Callithrix jacchus: one gene and its partners. The protein of the gene in region 1 interacts with the protein of each later gene in a pairwise test. Links are inferred from orthologs where the notes say so. Each region holds a gene or a part of one and is shown on either strand. Other genes may lie near its edges. The genes, in order: BCL2L2, KASH5, BMF and FATE1.

What was found.
Region 2: the proteins of BCL2L2 (region 1) and KASH5 interact in binary tests that used the Homo sapiens proteins (3 or more experiments, as listed by UniProt). The two-hybrid records come from large-scale screens. The link is inferred for Callithrix jacchus from reciprocal best matches to the Homo sapiens genes BCL2L2 and KASH5.
Region 3: the proteins of BCL2L2 (region 1) and BMF interact in binary tests that used the Homo sapiens proteins (3 or more experiments, as listed by UniProt). The two-hybrid records come from large-scale screens. The link is inferred for Callithrix jacchus from reciprocal best matches to the Homo sapiens genes BCL2L2 and BMF.
Region 4: the proteins of BCL2L2 (region 1) and FATE1 interact in binary tests that used the Homo sapiens proteins (3 or more experiments, as listed by UniProt). The two-hybrid records come from large-scale screens. The link is inferred for Callithrix jacchus from reciprocal best matches to the Homo sapiens genes BCL2L2 and FATE1.

The regions. Positions count from the first base shown.
Region 1 is NC_133509.1:57,649,367-57,653,543, forward strand, and holds the start of BCL2L2 (bcl-2-like protein 2), read left to right. Parts: upstream 1-1,362; 5' UTR 1,363-1,465; exon of another isoform or gene 1,466-1,471; intron 1,472-1,714; 5' UTR 1,715-1,802; intron 1,803-2,270; 5' UTR 2,271-2,278; coding exon 2,279-2,710; intron 2,711-3,322; coding exon of another isoform or gene 3,323-3,472; exon of another isoform or gene 3,473-4,177. UniProt on the Homo sapiens protein: Promotes cell survival. Blocks dexamethasone-induced apoptosis. Mediates survival of postmitotic Sertoli cells by suppressing death-promoting activity of BAX.
Region 2 is NC_133523.1:43,178,703-43,181,540, forward strand, and holds the end of KASH5 (protein KASH5), read left to right. Parts: intron 1-1,748; coding exon 1,749-1,813; intron 1,814-1,889; coding exon 1,890-2,000; intron 2,001-2,102; coding exon 2,103-2,244; coding exon of another isoform or gene 2,245-2,285; 3' UTR 2,286-2,302; downstream 2,303-2,838. UniProt on the Homo sapiens protein: As a component of the LINC (LInker of Nucleoskeleton and Cytoskeleton) complex, involved in the connection between the nuclear lamina and the cytoskeleton.
Region 3 is NC_133509.1:46,492,402-46,496,422, forward strand, and holds the start of BMF (bcl-2-modifying factor), read left to right. Parts: upstream 1-1,195; 5' UTR 1,196-1,208; coding exon 1,209-1,333; intron 1,334-1,719; coding exon 1,720-1,847; intron 1,848-3,938; coding exon 3,939-4,021. UniProt on the Homo sapiens protein: May play a role in apoptosis. Isoform 1 seems to be the main initiator.
Region 4 is NC_133524.1:148,013,554-148,017,623, forward strand, and holds the start of FATE1 (fetal and adult testis-expressed transcript protein), read left to right. Parts: upstream 1-1,226; 5' UTR 1,227-1,308; coding exon 1,309-1,417; intron 1,418-2,412; coding exon 2,413-2,540; intron 2,541-4,070. UniProt on the Homo sapiens protein: Involved in the regulation of endoplasmic reticulum (ER)-mitochondria coupling. Negatively regulates the ER-mitochondria distance and Ca(2+) transfer from ER to mitochondria possibly implicating it in the regulation of apoptosis.

The DNA of each region.
Region 1 (4,177 bases):
GACAGAGTCTCATGTCACCCAGTCTGGAGTGCAATGGCATGACCTCAGCTGACTGCCACCTCTGCCTCCTGGGTTCAAGTGATTCTTGTGCCTCAGCCTCCTGAGCAGCTGGGATTACAGGTGTGCACCACCACACCTGGCTAATTTTTGTATTTTTAATAGAGATGGGGTTTTGCCATGTTGGTCAGGCTGGAATGGAACTCATGGCCTCAAGTGATCTGCCTGCCTCAGCCTCCCAAAGTGTTGGGATTATAGGAATGAGCCACCAAACCCAGCTAGTTGTTACTATTATTGCTGCAGAAAAGACCTTGCTTCTCTAGTGACCATAAGGGCAGTTGGTAATACCAAGGCTTGGATTGGAGGTAGAAGCAAAGGGAACTAGCAGAAAAAGAGAATTGGATCTCCTCTTTCTGGCCTTTGTTTGGGGTGATGTTTAAATGGAGGAAATGCCAGATCCAAGAGCCCAGGGGGCTGGCTGTGAGTGCCCTCATGTGGATCAGCTGTGGTTAGACTGCTTAACGCCTTGTGGTCTGCCCCATATAAATATACTGCCATGTATAAATAATGGCCGAATATATGTGTAATCTGGAAAGATAAACATCAAGTTTAACACTGGCAACCTGCAGGGAGGGAAGTGGAATGGTGTGTGTGTGTGTGTGTGTGTGTGTGAGTGAACCTGCATTTTATTACTCCGTACCTCTTTATTTGATTTTTTTTTCCATGAGAAGTAGTTCATGTGTTAGGTAAAAAATAAAATAAAATAAAGTAAAATAAATCTATTACAAAAGAATATGAAGAATTAAAGAAAAGGACCAGCAGAAACCGCTTGTGATCCAAGTCCTGGCTCCCTGATGCCTGGCTGAAGCCCAGCCCACAAGCAGAACACTGGGTTAAAGGTCGTGGAGAAAAGAGGATGGGAAAGGTTTGGTGTCTGTGTGGTGTCTGCTAGTCCCAGAAGGGTAAGGCACCTGGCAGGCGGTTTTCAGCTTAATGGGAACTGCTCCTGTTTTCCAGGCACACACAATCCAGGGCTGGAGAAGTTCAACAAGTGCATGGAACATCGGAAACCTCCTGGAAATGCTGAATTTGCCTCGAGATGTCCTGAAGTCCAGCATACTTCTCTGGGCAGCCTCGAGGCTCAGGAACCCAGCCCAGCCCAGCTTACTGTGCCCTCTCAGCCAGTCCTTCTTAGCCTTCAGCAGCCCTCCCTCTTCCTGAGTAGTGGCCCTTCGCAGGCCTGCGTCCCAGCCCCGCCCCTCTCTCTGGACGCATCTCTGGGCCCCATCATCACCCGGCGCCGGGCCCTCCCTCTGCCCCCCCTTTCTCCTCCCTCCTTCCCTCCCTCCTTTCCTCCCTCTCTCCCTCCCTCCCAGCTCCTGCACCAGGAAACGGCCCGGATCCCGGCAGCGGCCTGACCCGTGAGATCCCTAACCTGGCAGGCGGGCGGGGTTGAAGACTGGCTGAGGTGGGGGTAAGGGAGGAGCTGGGCCTTTGGGCTGCACTAGGGGGAACCGGGAATAGAGATGGTGTCGGCAGGAAGCCCTTCGCCCTGGGTTTCCCAGGAGGACAGTCATTAAACATGGATTCGGCCACACAGCTAGTAGAACGTTGGGGGCAGGGGCCCAGGCCCAGAGCTGCAACCCCAGCCCTCCCAGGCCAGACCCTGATCCCTGGCCTTCCCCTCCTGGTTCTGATCTCCCCCTCCCCTTTTCAGGGCTCCACGCTGGCTGGGAGGATGAAAGGCCCCAGCTGGGGGCTCCTTGCCACCAGCGCTGTGTCTTAAGAGCTGCCATCCCGGCTGGGTGAGTGTCTCCTTCCTTTCTCTGTCTGGAGGAACCCATTGCGTCTCCCACCTTTCTCTTCAGCCCATCTGCTCCCCTTCATCTTGTGCCTCTGCCAACATCTTTACATCTTGCATTTGGGGAGGTCCTAAGCCCCTTCCTCTGGCCAAGAAGGTGTGGACTGAGCAGGGGGAGGTGTGTAGGGGTGTCACAGAGCTGACGTTGTCTTATTATGAAAAGAATCTAAAGTGTTCTAAACAAAATTTACTTGTTTTGCATTTAATTTTGCATATTAGGATGTAATGGCCAGCCTATCGAACCCTGGTCCCGCATCATAACTTAATTCCCTTGTTCTTGCCTCTCCCTGTCTAGTGAGCTCTGAGCATTTCCTCCATCCTCCCCATCTCACTGGGTTGGGCAAACCAGAAATTCTCCTTCTGGTTCTCTGTCCATATATTAATGCCAGTCTTTCATCCTTGCCTCTTATAGCTGCCCGGATGGCGACCCCAGCCTCCGCCCCAGACACACGGGCTCTGGTGGCAGACTTTGTAGGTTATAAGCTGAGGCAGAAAGGTTATGTCTGTGGAACTGGCCCCGGGGAGGGCCCAGCAGCTGACCCGCTGCACCAAGCAATGCGGGCAGCTGGAGATGAATTCGAGACCCGCTTCCGGCGCACCTTCTCTGATCTGGCGGCTCAGCTGCATGTGACCCCAGGTTCAGCCCAACAACGCTTCACCCAGGTCTCCGATGAACTTTTCCAAGGGGGTCCCAACTGGGGCCGCCTTGTAGCCTTCTTTGTCTTTGGGGCTGCACTGTGTGCTGAGAGTGTCAACAAGGAGATGGAACCACTGGTGGGACAAGTGCAGGAGTGGATGGTGGCCTACCTGGAGACGCGGCTGGCCGACTGGATCCACAGCAGTGGGGGCTGGGTAAGAAGCTTCTCAATTGCCGCTCTGCACATCCCTCTGCAAAGCTGGTCTCCAGGGGGAAGATGGGGGCTCTGATTGGAGGCTGAGGCAGCTATGTTGGGAATGAGGTATGGGGCTGAGGCTCCCCGTCTGGGTGGAATCAGACTGAGAGATGCCTGGGCTCTGCACTCCAGGGCTGCCATGCAGTCAACACTGGATGGGCTCATGGTCCCAAGCAGAGGGCAGAATATGCACCCAAGGAGTGCCTGCAGGGGAATGGTGTCAGGGACTTTTTGCATCTGAGTCATGGCATGGGAGGTGGGGAGGATCAGGGATGGGGGGTGGTCAGGCAATCCTTGGCAAAGGATGCTAGTTCTGAGCAGAATTTTTCGCCAAGGAAAGGATGGAATTCACTGGAGACAGAGTGGGCAAATGAACCAGTCTCTCAGGGTGGGGGTATGCCTGGGGGGATCAGAGGGGCTTGTAGTAGAGCCTTGACTAGAGAGGAGCTGGGAATGGGGTAGTGCTCGCAGTGAATGGAACTGGAACTCTTCCTCTCCTCTTCTCTCCACTCTTTCCTCTCCTGATATCCCTTTCTCCTTCTTTCTCTCCTACTTCCCTTCTCTCCCACAGGCGGAGTTCACAGCTCTATACGGGGACGGGGCCCTGGAGGAGGCGCGGCGTCTGCGGGAGGGGAACTGGGCATCAGTGAGGACAGTGCTGACAGGGGCCGTGGCACTGGGGGCCCTGGTAACTGTAGGGGCCTTTTTTGCTAGCAAGTGAAAGTCCAGGGCCAGGTGGGGCTAGGTGTGGCTGGGGGTCTGGAGAGCAGGAACAGAACAGAGAAATGCCCTTGGAAGAAGTGGAGTTGGTGGATGGGTGGGCATGGAACAGGGATGGGCAGGGGAAGGGTAGTGTGTAAGGGAGCTGAGTAGGCCAGGTAGGCGATTAGAAGAATGAGCAGGACATAGGGGAGGGGAATGTTTTGGCAAGTTTAGGGGGGCAGGAGATGGAGTCGTTCCAGGGCTGGGGGAGGTGGGAGGGATCATGCCTATAGGTGTGGGCACATGAAACGACCTGGAACTTGGTTTGTAGCCATGAGGAATGTGGACTTGCATAAGCAGTTGTGTTTCCATTGGATGAGTGGAATTTGGGGAACATAGAAGGTACATCCCTTTGGAATGGAAGCTTGAGGGTTCTTGGGCGATAGGGAGAGGTGGCTGTAACCATGGGCTGCTTGGACACACGTGTGCATGTGCACGCATGCTGCTGTGCATGCTGGGCTGCCTGGCAAATCTGGTGGTGGTGGTATTCCCCAAGGAGAAAACATTCCCTCTTGCAATGGCAAGAACTAGGAGCAGTTCTCTGCCCTGCCCCCCACAACCCCTCCTTTCCCTTGCCGTTGTCCTGATGCCTCAAGGCTTAGAGAGAAACATTGTATCCAGACATAGGGCTCTGCTGCTTCTCTCCAGAAAGTAATTGGCAAGG
Region 2 (2,838 bases), on another chromosome or scaffold:
CCAGGGGACTCCTCCAGCCACACACAAGGCTGCAGTCGCCATACGGCAGGCCTCATAGACGTGGCTACACCCACGGATTGCATAAATGCACACGCACATTCGCCCACACTCGGAGGAGGTTGGGCTGGCCCTCCCCAGCCAGCCTCAGAATTCCCTGGGGGCACAATGCCCACAGCTCCCCTGCCTGCAGCCACACAGGCTGGCTCCTCTGCTCCTCAGAGTAGCTGTGCCCAGTGGAAGTTAGGATTTTGATTCTCAGGCAAGGAAGGGGAAATAAATTTGGTAAGGAGAGGTGAGGAGCCCTCGGTTCTGAGCTGAGGAATGCAGGAGCTGGGCTGGAGTCTGCCTGTTGTAGGTCAGGCACTGTCAGGGCCCTTGGGGCTCTTCAGGGTCCAAATCAGCCAAGATGGCTGCCTCCAGGATGCTCAGCTCCCAGCAGCCTGGCCCCAAAGTCCACTCCCTTGCCCCAGAGACTGGGGATCCACCTCAGCTTCCTCATCGCTCACATGGGGACAATCTCTTCCTAGCTCCCAGGGTTGGGATGAGGGTTAAGGACCACGTCGTAAAGGGCCTGGGTGCCTGCCTAGCACAACAGGCGTTGGAGGTGAAGATACTGATCATGATTGGTGTTCTGTTTTAATTTATTGATCATCATCCTCATCTTCGTCAGAAAGAAGCAGGGGTGGGAAGGCCAAAGACCTATAAGGGGAGGCCCTTCCAGGGAGACACGAGGGATGAGGCGGTACAGTGGGTTGGGCCTGACCCCTGGAGAAACAGCTGGGACTTTAATCTTTGAATCTTCAGATAAAGTACTAGAATTAATCAGTGAATTCAGCATGGTTGCTGGGTTAAAGGTCAAAATAAAAAATCAGTCATATTTCAGTGTGGCAACAATGAGCAATGAGAAAATTAAATTTATACCATTTATAATAGCATGGGGTTTTTTGTTTGTTTTTTTGAGACAGAACCGTGCTCTGTCGCCAAGCTGGAGTGCAGTGACATCATCTTGGCTCACTGCAACCTCTGCCTCCCTGGTTCAAGTGATTCTCCCACCTCAGCCTCCCAACTAGCTAGGATTACAGGCATGCGCCACCACACCCAGCTAATTTTTGTATTTTCGGTAGAGAAAGGGTTTCACCATGTTGGCCAGGATGGTCTCAATCTCCTGCCCTTGTGATCTGCCCACTTTGGACTCCCAAAGTGTTGGGATTACAGGTGTAAGCCACCATGCCCAGCCTATGATGGGCTGTTTTTAATTAAAGCACCTGCCGATTCTGGCATAGGCAGGAAAACAGGATTCTGCATGAGGTCCAGCACGGGGGTGGGCACCTGTAGAAGATGTGGTCTCTGCCCTTAAAGAGCTTAGATACTTCCAGAATCTGATGGAAAATGGAGGTGATGATATTGAATAGCTCATACAGACATTGAGCACTCACTATGTACCAGGCACTGTCCAAGTCACTGCCTGCCTTTTTCATTCATTTAGTCTCCATGTTAATCCTATGAGGTGGGGACATCCCTGGCTAGCAGATGGGGAAAGAGAGGCACGGAGAGGTGTGGTAACATGCCAAGGGCTCTCAGCCAGAAGCTGGCAGAACTGGGAACCCAACCTGGCAGCATGTCTCAAAGAAGCTCATTCAACTCCTGAGTTCCACTACCTTCTGTGTGGTCACTGTGTCCAGTGGGCTGACCTGAGGGCCTCTCAGTCCAGAACCCAGTGCCTCAAATGCATCTCTTCGTCCTTCCAGGCTGATCTCCCCATCCCTCTAGGAGACTCTCACTCTGGAGACATCGCAGAAAGCCCTCCAAGGAGGTAATAGGACCCATGGGGTCCAGGAGGGAAATTGGAGACAAGGAAAAACCAGTGTTGATTCCCTCCTTTCCCCCAGCAGCCCTGCCCAGCAGGATCTCCGGCAAGCCCTGGTCCCTGTGATGAAGGAGCTGGTCCCAGTCAGGAGGAGGCCCTGGGGCCAGCTCATCCTGCCCCCACAGCGACTCAGGTGTGCCCCCAGGCACCTCCAGAAGGAAGAAGGTGTTCTGACATTGGGAAGACCAGGGGCTGCCTGGACCCTGCCCTAAGCACTCTCCCACCTCCCCACTAGGGTCACTCGGTATCCGATGATCCCAGCTCCAGTCCTGGGCCTGCTGCTGCTGCTGCTGCTCTCTGTCCTGCTGCTGGGCCAGTCCCCACCTCCCACCTTGCCCCACCTCCAGCTCTGTTACCTCCAGCCCCCTCCAGTGTGAGAGGCTCTGCTTGTCCCTCAGAACAGTGTGTAGTTCAATAAATCCCCTGGCGCTCTCTCCGCTCGGATCCCCTATGTTAGGCCAGTGTTGCACGGGCTTATCGCAGAAACCGTACAGGGGGATCCACATCCCTGGACTGGGTTTATGTGAAGGCTCCTAGTTATTTAATGTTGACATTTAACAAAAGCAAAACTTCCCCAGTCACAGATTAAGCACTAAGGACTATTCCTTCACAAAACAAGCCTGGCAAGGGCAGCTGTGGGCACACAGCGAAGTCTCAGCTGCCTTGGGGTCAGGGCCTCAGTGATTCTCCCGTCCCCTCACGCTCAGGAGCTGGCAGTTGTAGCTTCCCACATCACATCTGCAGGGAGACGGAAGCTCGTCCCTTCCTTTTTATAAAGAGAGGCAGTAGCCTCAGTGTGCAGTGGGTAGATTCAGATCATAATCATAATGAAAGAGAAGCAGTCGCCTGCCCAGAGCCACCAGCAGACTTGTGTCTGTCTCACCAGTCAGACTGTTTGGTGTGACCACCACTCTCAACTGTAAGGGAGGCTGGGACCTGGGAGGCCAAGTACCTCTCCAGGGACCAGCTGC
Region 3 (4,021 bases), about 11 Mb from region 1:
GTGCCATCTTGTCCCACTGCAACCTTCGCCTCCTGGGTTCAAGCAATTCTCCTGCCTCAGCCTCCCAAGTAGCTGGGATTACAGGCATGCACCACCAAGCCTGGCTAACTTTTGTATTTTTTAGTAGACAGACAGGGTTTCGCCGTGTTGGCCAGGCTGGTCTCCAACTGCTGAGTTCAAATGATCAGCCCGCCCCGGCCTCTCAAAGTGCTGGGATTACAGGCGTGAGCCATTCGCATCTGGTTTTCCTTATTGAAAAATATTTCCCATTCAATTTAAAAGCCATCTTCCTGAAGCCTTCCCTAACCTTTATATTCTGAATTTTTCTGCACTCCTCAAGAGTCATTATCCTTGGAATGAACACCATCCCTATGGCTTTTCACTATTTTCAGGGCTACCTCTCCTAGAAGACTGTAAGCTCCTTGAGGACAGACTCCAGGTTTCTCGCACTTAGCCCAGTATCTGGCACAGAGTAGGTGCTCAGTAAATGTTTGTGAAGTAGCCCATAGACTCCCTTGTGCGGTCTGCAGGACACGCTGCTCTTCTGGGAGCACCAGCACAGTCTCTAAATGCTGCCATAGCGATATGTATCAACCGCTCAAGCAGCCCTTGCCTTCTTGCGCTCCTCTTCTCATCCAGATGTTTATTTTGCCAGTGCCCACGCCCAGGCAAGAAGAGGACCTGAGGGCTCCTCTGAATGTGTTTGTTTCAAACACACCTTCAGCTTTGGGGCTGCAGTTTTCTTCAGACCAGCTCGGCAGGCTGGAGGGAGCTTTCCCCCGAGGCTGGGATCCCATAGGCACCCTGTACCCTGCCCCCACTGGACGCGCCAGCCTCATAAAAAAAACTCCCTGTCTCCTTCCCCCCACCCTTTCTGATCGCGCAGCAATTATTCTGTCCATTCCCGTGAAAAAGAAGACAAAAGTTACTTTGGCGCCCCCTCTCCCACACCTGATAGGATTCAGGGACTCTCTGGCGCTTCCAGAGCCTGTGTTAGGGACAGAATCCGTGAGGGAGACGGCGCTCTAACTGCGCTTCTGGTGAGGATCGGAATTTTGCTCGGTCCCTTGCAATGTTTCCCTGGGAAGGTTCGTACATTCGTGACCGTCCCTGGCAGCTGCCCAGCCCGGGACTTGGCGCTTCACTCGCCATTGGCCAGTCCTCGGCGTGACGCGAAGAGGGGCGGGGCCTCATCAGCTGTTTGCGGGATGCCCCGAGCGGGCGTATTTTGGAAACAATACCGCACGGTGCGGAGTGGCCTCCTCCCGCCCCGGCCCGCGTCCGCTGCCGCCGCCGCCCTTTGCCTGCGCCTCCCGCCTCCCGCCGCAGCCCGGTGAGAGCCCGGGTGGCGGCCGGGGGGCCGGGCGGAGTTGGATCGCAGCTCCTTGGGGAAGTAGGGAGAGGAGTCGCGCTGCGCATAGGGGCCCTGGAAGGGTTTGGGCTGCGGACGTCTGGGGTGACCATGAAGAACTGGGGCCCTGGGGTGAGGGACCGAGGTGCAGAACCCACAGCTGGGTGTGCCGCTCCAAGAGGGAACTTGGGGCTAGCATTTGGGACTCGAAGGAGTTGGGTCCAGGTGGGCGGAGGAACCTGGGTGCACTGCTGAGCAGACCTGGGTGCCCGAGAGCGGCCCAGCCTCTGGGTCTGACTTTGGGGTAGGACAGGAGTTGTGGGGCATCTTGCCTTTCTGCGGAGTCTGAAGGCTCCTCTCCTTAACAGCTGGGCTTTTTCCCTCCTTCCCAATCGAGTCTGGGCATCAAGCCCCCGAGTGCTCGTCACGCTGGACCCTGGCGCGGAGCCCTGGCATCACGACTCGGAGGCCGAGACCCTCTCCTGGAGTCACCCAGGTCTGGGTGGGTGGGTGGGTGGCTGTGTGTGTGTGTGTGTAAGCTCGGGCTGTTTGGCTACTGCATTCTCCTAAGAGGAGGAGGAGTCTAAGTTCAGCATCCCTCTTCGATCCCTTAGGGGCTGGGATGGCTACAGCGGGTCTTTAGTTCCTTTGCTAGGAGTAAAGCATTCCCTGGCACTGTTCTCAGGAAGTGCCCTCCTCCCCCTACTCTTGATATCACCTCTTAAGCTCAGGAGAAAAGGGAGGAAAGGATTTCTTCACCTTTTCTTAGTTTACCCTTGACCTTGCCAAGCACCACTCCAGAGGTGTCCACCTACAGGCAAGCTACCGGCAGTTTGTGGAGAGTGAAGGGGTCCCTGGGGCTTGCAGAGCCACGCCTTCTGGCTGCACTTACCCCACTGTCCAGTCTGTGCAAGCCTTGAACTTTGGGGCTTTGCTGGGAGGGGGAGGGGAAGGTGATAGGCTTCAAAGGAAAAACCAAGACAATGACTTGTGCTTGTGATTGGCTTTGAGGGCCCCTTCTAAGAAGAGATTGGAGGGCTGGAGGGGAGCCCCTGCCAGGTGACTGGCAGGACAGCACTTGGTCCTTTCATCAGGAAATGCTGTTTCCTGTCGCTAATAAGCTGGAGTGCACCCCCCCACACACACACCACTTGGGAAACACTGTCCAAAGAACACCACATGGCTGCTTGCCATCCTAGCAGGCATATCCTCACTCTCCAGGGATGATGGTAGAGACAGGACCATAGACAGCTCAGGGACTGGGATGGGATGGGATGAAGCCGGGCCCGGAGCAAGCATCTCACAGAGAGCCTGCATTTGGCAAAGGCAGGGTTCTGAATTGAACTGAAATTGTTTTAGCAACTTCATCAACTTACAGACCTTTTGGCTTGTTATTCAAAGGGAAGAGACTGGGGAACAGAACACCCAGGAATCTCTAATTGAGTCTGACAAAGATGAAATTCATCTCTTTTTATCCTTAGCTGTTCAGGTGGTTGCTGCTTCTGACTGCTGCAGGGATCTTAAGGGGTTCCTGGTGTGTGCAGGGAGCTAGGTTGGAAGCTTAAGATGCTGGGTAGCTCCAAGCTCAGACTTCCAAGAGCCATCAGGTGGAGTAAGAGGTACTTCTTTATTACCAAGAAACTCTCATCAATAACCTGAGTAGTAGAGACAGTGAGGTCACAGGGAGAGGGGTGAATTTCACTTCCTTCTGTAAGACCAATTACGCCAATCTCAGGTCTCAGGTTCTGAGCTGGCAGGAGTGGGAGGCTGTGGAGACAAGGATTTGAAGTCTTGGAGACTAGTGAGGAGACTTAGCTGGGAGAGGCTGGACCTACCTTCCAGGCCAAGCTTTGGTGGGCAGATAGCTCAACTCTGCTCAAAGAGAGGCGAGACGGCACCTGCGATGACTAACTTGGGTTTTTATCCCTTCTCCCAGGACATACTCTTACCACACTGCAGAGCCTGTTTGTTGTGTTGTGCAAGCAAGGGGTGGAGATTAGAGTAGATGGGCAGCAGGGCGGGGCTTAGGGGTTTGGAGGGAACCTGATTGCCCTAGGACTGCGGGCTTTTGTTTCTGCTGCTGAGTCTGGAGCTAAGCTCAGACTGAGATAAGAGTTTCCTTGGGGCAATGACTTTGTGTGTGTTTGTATGTGTGTGTGTGTGTTGTGAGCATTGTATATATAGCCAGTCACAGCACCCTTGACAGCAACTTACAGAGGCTAGTCTTGTTTATATTTTCCCAGGTACCCTGCATGCCTATAGCTGTTGATTGTACTCCTGTTATTGCTCACAACCCCGAGTCAAACTTTGTGACTGGCCTAGGTCAGAAACAGGATCAGGAAAAACAGTGGTTCCAGGCGGGACCAAGGAAGAGGTGTGGAGGGCCCCTGAACACTGAGGCAGTTCAAATTTTGGGAGTGGGTGTCACCCTTGGCAGTGCTTTATTACTAGGATTGTGTGTCATCAGTATGTGGCCCGGTCCCCTCAAATAAGAAGGGGGAACAGAGAAGAAAGAAGGGAAGGGGAGTCCTTATATGTGTGGCCCTGGTGGGGCAGCATCCCAGATGTCTGCGTTGCCCTCTTACAGGGGAGATGGAGCCATCTCAGTGTGTGGAGGAGCTGGAGGATGATGTGTTCCAGCCAGAGGATGGGGAGCCAGGGACCCAACCC
Region 4 (4,070 bases), on another chromosome or scaffold:
ACCTATCTCCCTTCCTCCCTTCCTCCCTCCCTCTTTTCCTCCTTTCTTCCACCTCTTCCTCCCACTTGGCCCAGGGACTCTGGGGGAAGAGGAGGCTATTTGGAAAAGGAACCAGGACAGGTTTATAAAGGATTCCTTTTACAAATAGCCTCCTATTACCCCAGGGGCTCTGGGGTTGTTTCCTAAATGAAGGGTTCAGCATTGGTGGTTGTAGCAATCAGGGTTTTCAGAGAAACAGAGCTGATAGGATATATGTATGTATGTATGTATGTATGTATGTATGTATGTATGTATCTACATATGCACAAATATAGAGAAATTTATTTTAAGAAATTGGCTTATGTGACTGTGGGCCTCACAAGTCTGAAATGTACAGGACAGGCCGGCAGGCAGGAGACTCAGGCAAGAGTTGACCCTGCAGTCTTGGGGTTGAAATGCCTCTTCTCTGGAAACCTCAGTCTTTGCTCTTCAGGCCTCTCAGTTGATTGCGTGAGACCCACCCACATCATCGAGGATGAGTCTCTACTTTATTTCAAGTCCACTGGTTGTAGATGCCAATCACAGCTACAAATTGCCTCATCAGCAACACCTACACGGTGTTTGATGGAATCACCAGGGGCAAGTGCCTGGCCCAGGTGACTCATAAACCTGACCATCACAGTGGTCTAGTCAGTAGGTAAGCTGAGGGAGAATTGGAACTTAGAAGGTGCAGGGCCTGAGGCCCTTGGGGTTCTAGTGGCTGCAGTCAGGTCACACCTCTTTCACCCTTCCCTCCTTTGGTTCTCATGGCTCCTGCCTAGGCTGACCGACTTCAGAAAAAGGCTGCCTCCTGTGTTTGGGGACTCTGGATATGGGAGGTAGGATATGCTCTCCAGAGAATCCCTTTTGAAGGCATGGTATGGCCTGGATTGCTAGGACCTAACTCTGCTGTGGCCACTGTGTGGCTCTTGGACCCTGTGCCAATCCTTGCATCTGCCTAGAAATGATGATGGGATCCCCCATGAGCTAAATCTGGAGATCCATGAGCCAGAGCAGTTCTCACAGGCAAAAGCTTGGAGTTGTATCTCTTCTAAGCTGCTTACAGAGTTGCAGGGGAGAACGCCATGGACCCAACCAATTAGATACAATGGGAACAGAAGGTACTCAGTCCAAGGCCTCAGCCTAGAGAGGGAGTGTCACTCCACCCCCAGGTCCTACTATATCTTCCTTGAGCTCCTGTCCCTGGAAGAGGCGATTTTCTGAGTGTGACTCCTCTGTTTCTGGCACCCTGCACATTTTTAGCCATTGCTTACAAGTGAACAGCTGGTTATGATGGCAGGAGGCCCTATCAGCACCAGGGAGGAGGTAGAAATATCCCTGGCTGAAGAACTGAATCATGGAAGCCAAGGGCAAAACCAAGAGCACCTGGGGATAGCAGGTGAGGATCCTCTAAAATACCACTTGGCTATAGCCAACTCTGTAGATACGTGTCTATACCTGTGCATGTGTGTGTTGGAAAAGGTGCATGTGTGCAAGGAAGTGTTTGCACATGTGTGTGTTGGGGAGCTTCGAGGATTTGTGGGTTGATGATAAGGGAGGTAGGGAAAAGGGAGCATTTTTCCTACTGTCTCCCACTTGTCCAAGCCACCACCATGTCTGTTGCAAAATACTCAGAGAGCTCAAATTACAAGATCAGAGATCAATTCTCTCTCCCAATGCTCTAATTCATTTCCCTGCCCTTCAGAGGAAAGTCCAAACTCCACAGTCTATAAGATAGTATCAGCCTCCTCAAAACATTTCATGCTATGATATAGACAGAAAATATCATTTCTATAGCTCACAAAAGGGCCAAGATCACACTGCATTTATGTTTGTTATTACAATGCTGCAAGCGTGCTTATTCCCCAAAGACCTTGCATTTGCTGTTTCTTCTGTCTGGAATGTGCTTTCCCTCAATTTCCCAGGGCTGGGTCCTTTATTTCTTTCAGGTCCCTGCTTCAGTTTTTGTCTCCTACTTTTTAGAGGGAGCCCTTTCCTTCTACTATGTTACCATGTTTTGATCGTTTATGGAGCCTGTGTCTCTCTGTCTGCATTTGCGAGGATAGATTACTTTCTGCTGTACACCTGTCATTCCCCCTTATACACAAACAGATGGTCAGTTCTTTGAGAGCTGGAATCTTGTTCTTGATCATTGCTTTCTAAGTGAATAGAGAGTAACCTAGTCTCGAGCTCAGCCATCAGGAAATGCTTGATTAACTTTTGAACAAATGAACAAACTGAGGCCTGGGATCAGCTGGTGGATAGTGTTGAACGGGTGTTGAGTGATTCCCGAGAAGGCTGTGGCCTCTGCCTTCTTTTATGCTGTGTTTCGTGTCCAAAAAGCCCTGGTATAACTTCTGTGGGTGCTCCTGAGGCCTCTGTTCTTCTCTCTAGAAGTGATGGATCATAGATCTCGGTCCCTCAGTGTCCCCCAGAAGAGGCAGAAGGTGGAATCAAAAGCTGCAGGCTCTGCTGAAGCCAAACCAGTTTGGAATATGACTGCCACCCGGCCCAAGAAAATGGTACTGTATGGGGTCCTCAGCATAAGGTGGCCAGGTTGGGATTGGGAGTACTGTTTGTAGGGGCTCTTGCCTCACCAGGTCAGTCAGGGCTAGACATTGACTTGGGAGGAAGAGAAAGCTCCTGTGTTCCGAGCTGGCAAATGAGGAAAGGAAGGTCCAGTTAAAGGTCACGGTCATCCTTTCCTATACTAGAGGTTCAACCTTGGGAGTTCGGAATTCTTGAAACAAATATTGCTTAGGGAGTAAATAAATACTTTACTTTGTAAATCTATTGCGTGAAATAATGCTTTCCTGTATTTAAAATTATGTGTGTGGTACACGTGTGTGTATACACACAATAAGTCAGGTGAGGCTCCTATCCTTTCTGGCTGTTAAGAAATCCAGTCAAGTGGCCTGGCATGGTGACTCATGCCTGTAATCCCAGCACTCTGAGAGGAGGAGATGGGCAGATCACTTGAGGCCAGGAGTTCGAGACCAGTCTGGCCAGTATGGTGAAACCCCCATCTCTATTAAAAATAAAAAAATTAGCTGGGCATGGTGGCACATGCCTGTAATCCCAGCTACTCAGGAGGCTGAGGCATGAGAATCGCTTGAACTCAGGAGGCAGAGGTTGCAATGAGCCAAAATCATGCTACTGCACTCCAGCCTGGGCAACAGAGAGAGACTCTGTAAAAAGAAAGAAGGGGGTGGGGGAGAGAGAGAGAGAGAGAAGAAGCAAGGAAGAAAGGAAGAAATCCAGTGAAGTGAATCTGACAATTTTGTAGCCAATGCTTTTAAGCTACATTCAATATGGGTGAAGAAATATTCTAGAACAAATAGTGGCTATACTGCTGCAAATGATATTGAGAAAAACAGTCATTTTGGAGGGAGAGGGAATTCTGACTCTTCTGGAGAATTAGGTGAGTTCCACAGTTCTGTAGCCAATCCTTTTAGCTAGCTACATTCACTGTGGGTAAGGGAAAGTTTTAGAAAAATTGATATGCTGTTGCAAAGGCTGCTGGGAAAAGGCAACAGGATTGGAGAGGGAGGGAGGACTGACTGCTCCAGGAAATAATGTGAGTCCCACGGTTCTGTGGCCAATTCTTTAAGCTACATTCACTGTGGATGTTGAATGTTCTAGAAAGATGCTGGCCACATTGTCGCAAAGGATACTGAAAAAGGCATTTATTTTGGAGAGAAGGGAGACCTGACTGCTTTAGGGAATCACAAATCCCATCTTTCTGTAGCCAATGCTTTTCACCACATTCAGGTTGGTGAGGAAAAATTAATAAAATTTTAGAAAATGGTGGTTTTTACTGTTACCACAGAAAAGTTTGGAAGTTACTGGGAAAGGGAGGGAGACTTGATTGCTGAAATGATTTGTTGGATGGCCCCAGGGAAGATTGAGAAAAAAGGCTTCCAGGTTTAAAGATTTCCTGGGAATAAAAATAGGTCAGATGTTGATCTGGCTTCCTGTGTCCAAAGACAGAAGCCAAATCAAGCTGCCCAGGAGGTCAGGCTCCGAGACTAGGGAGAATATCACCTCTGGTT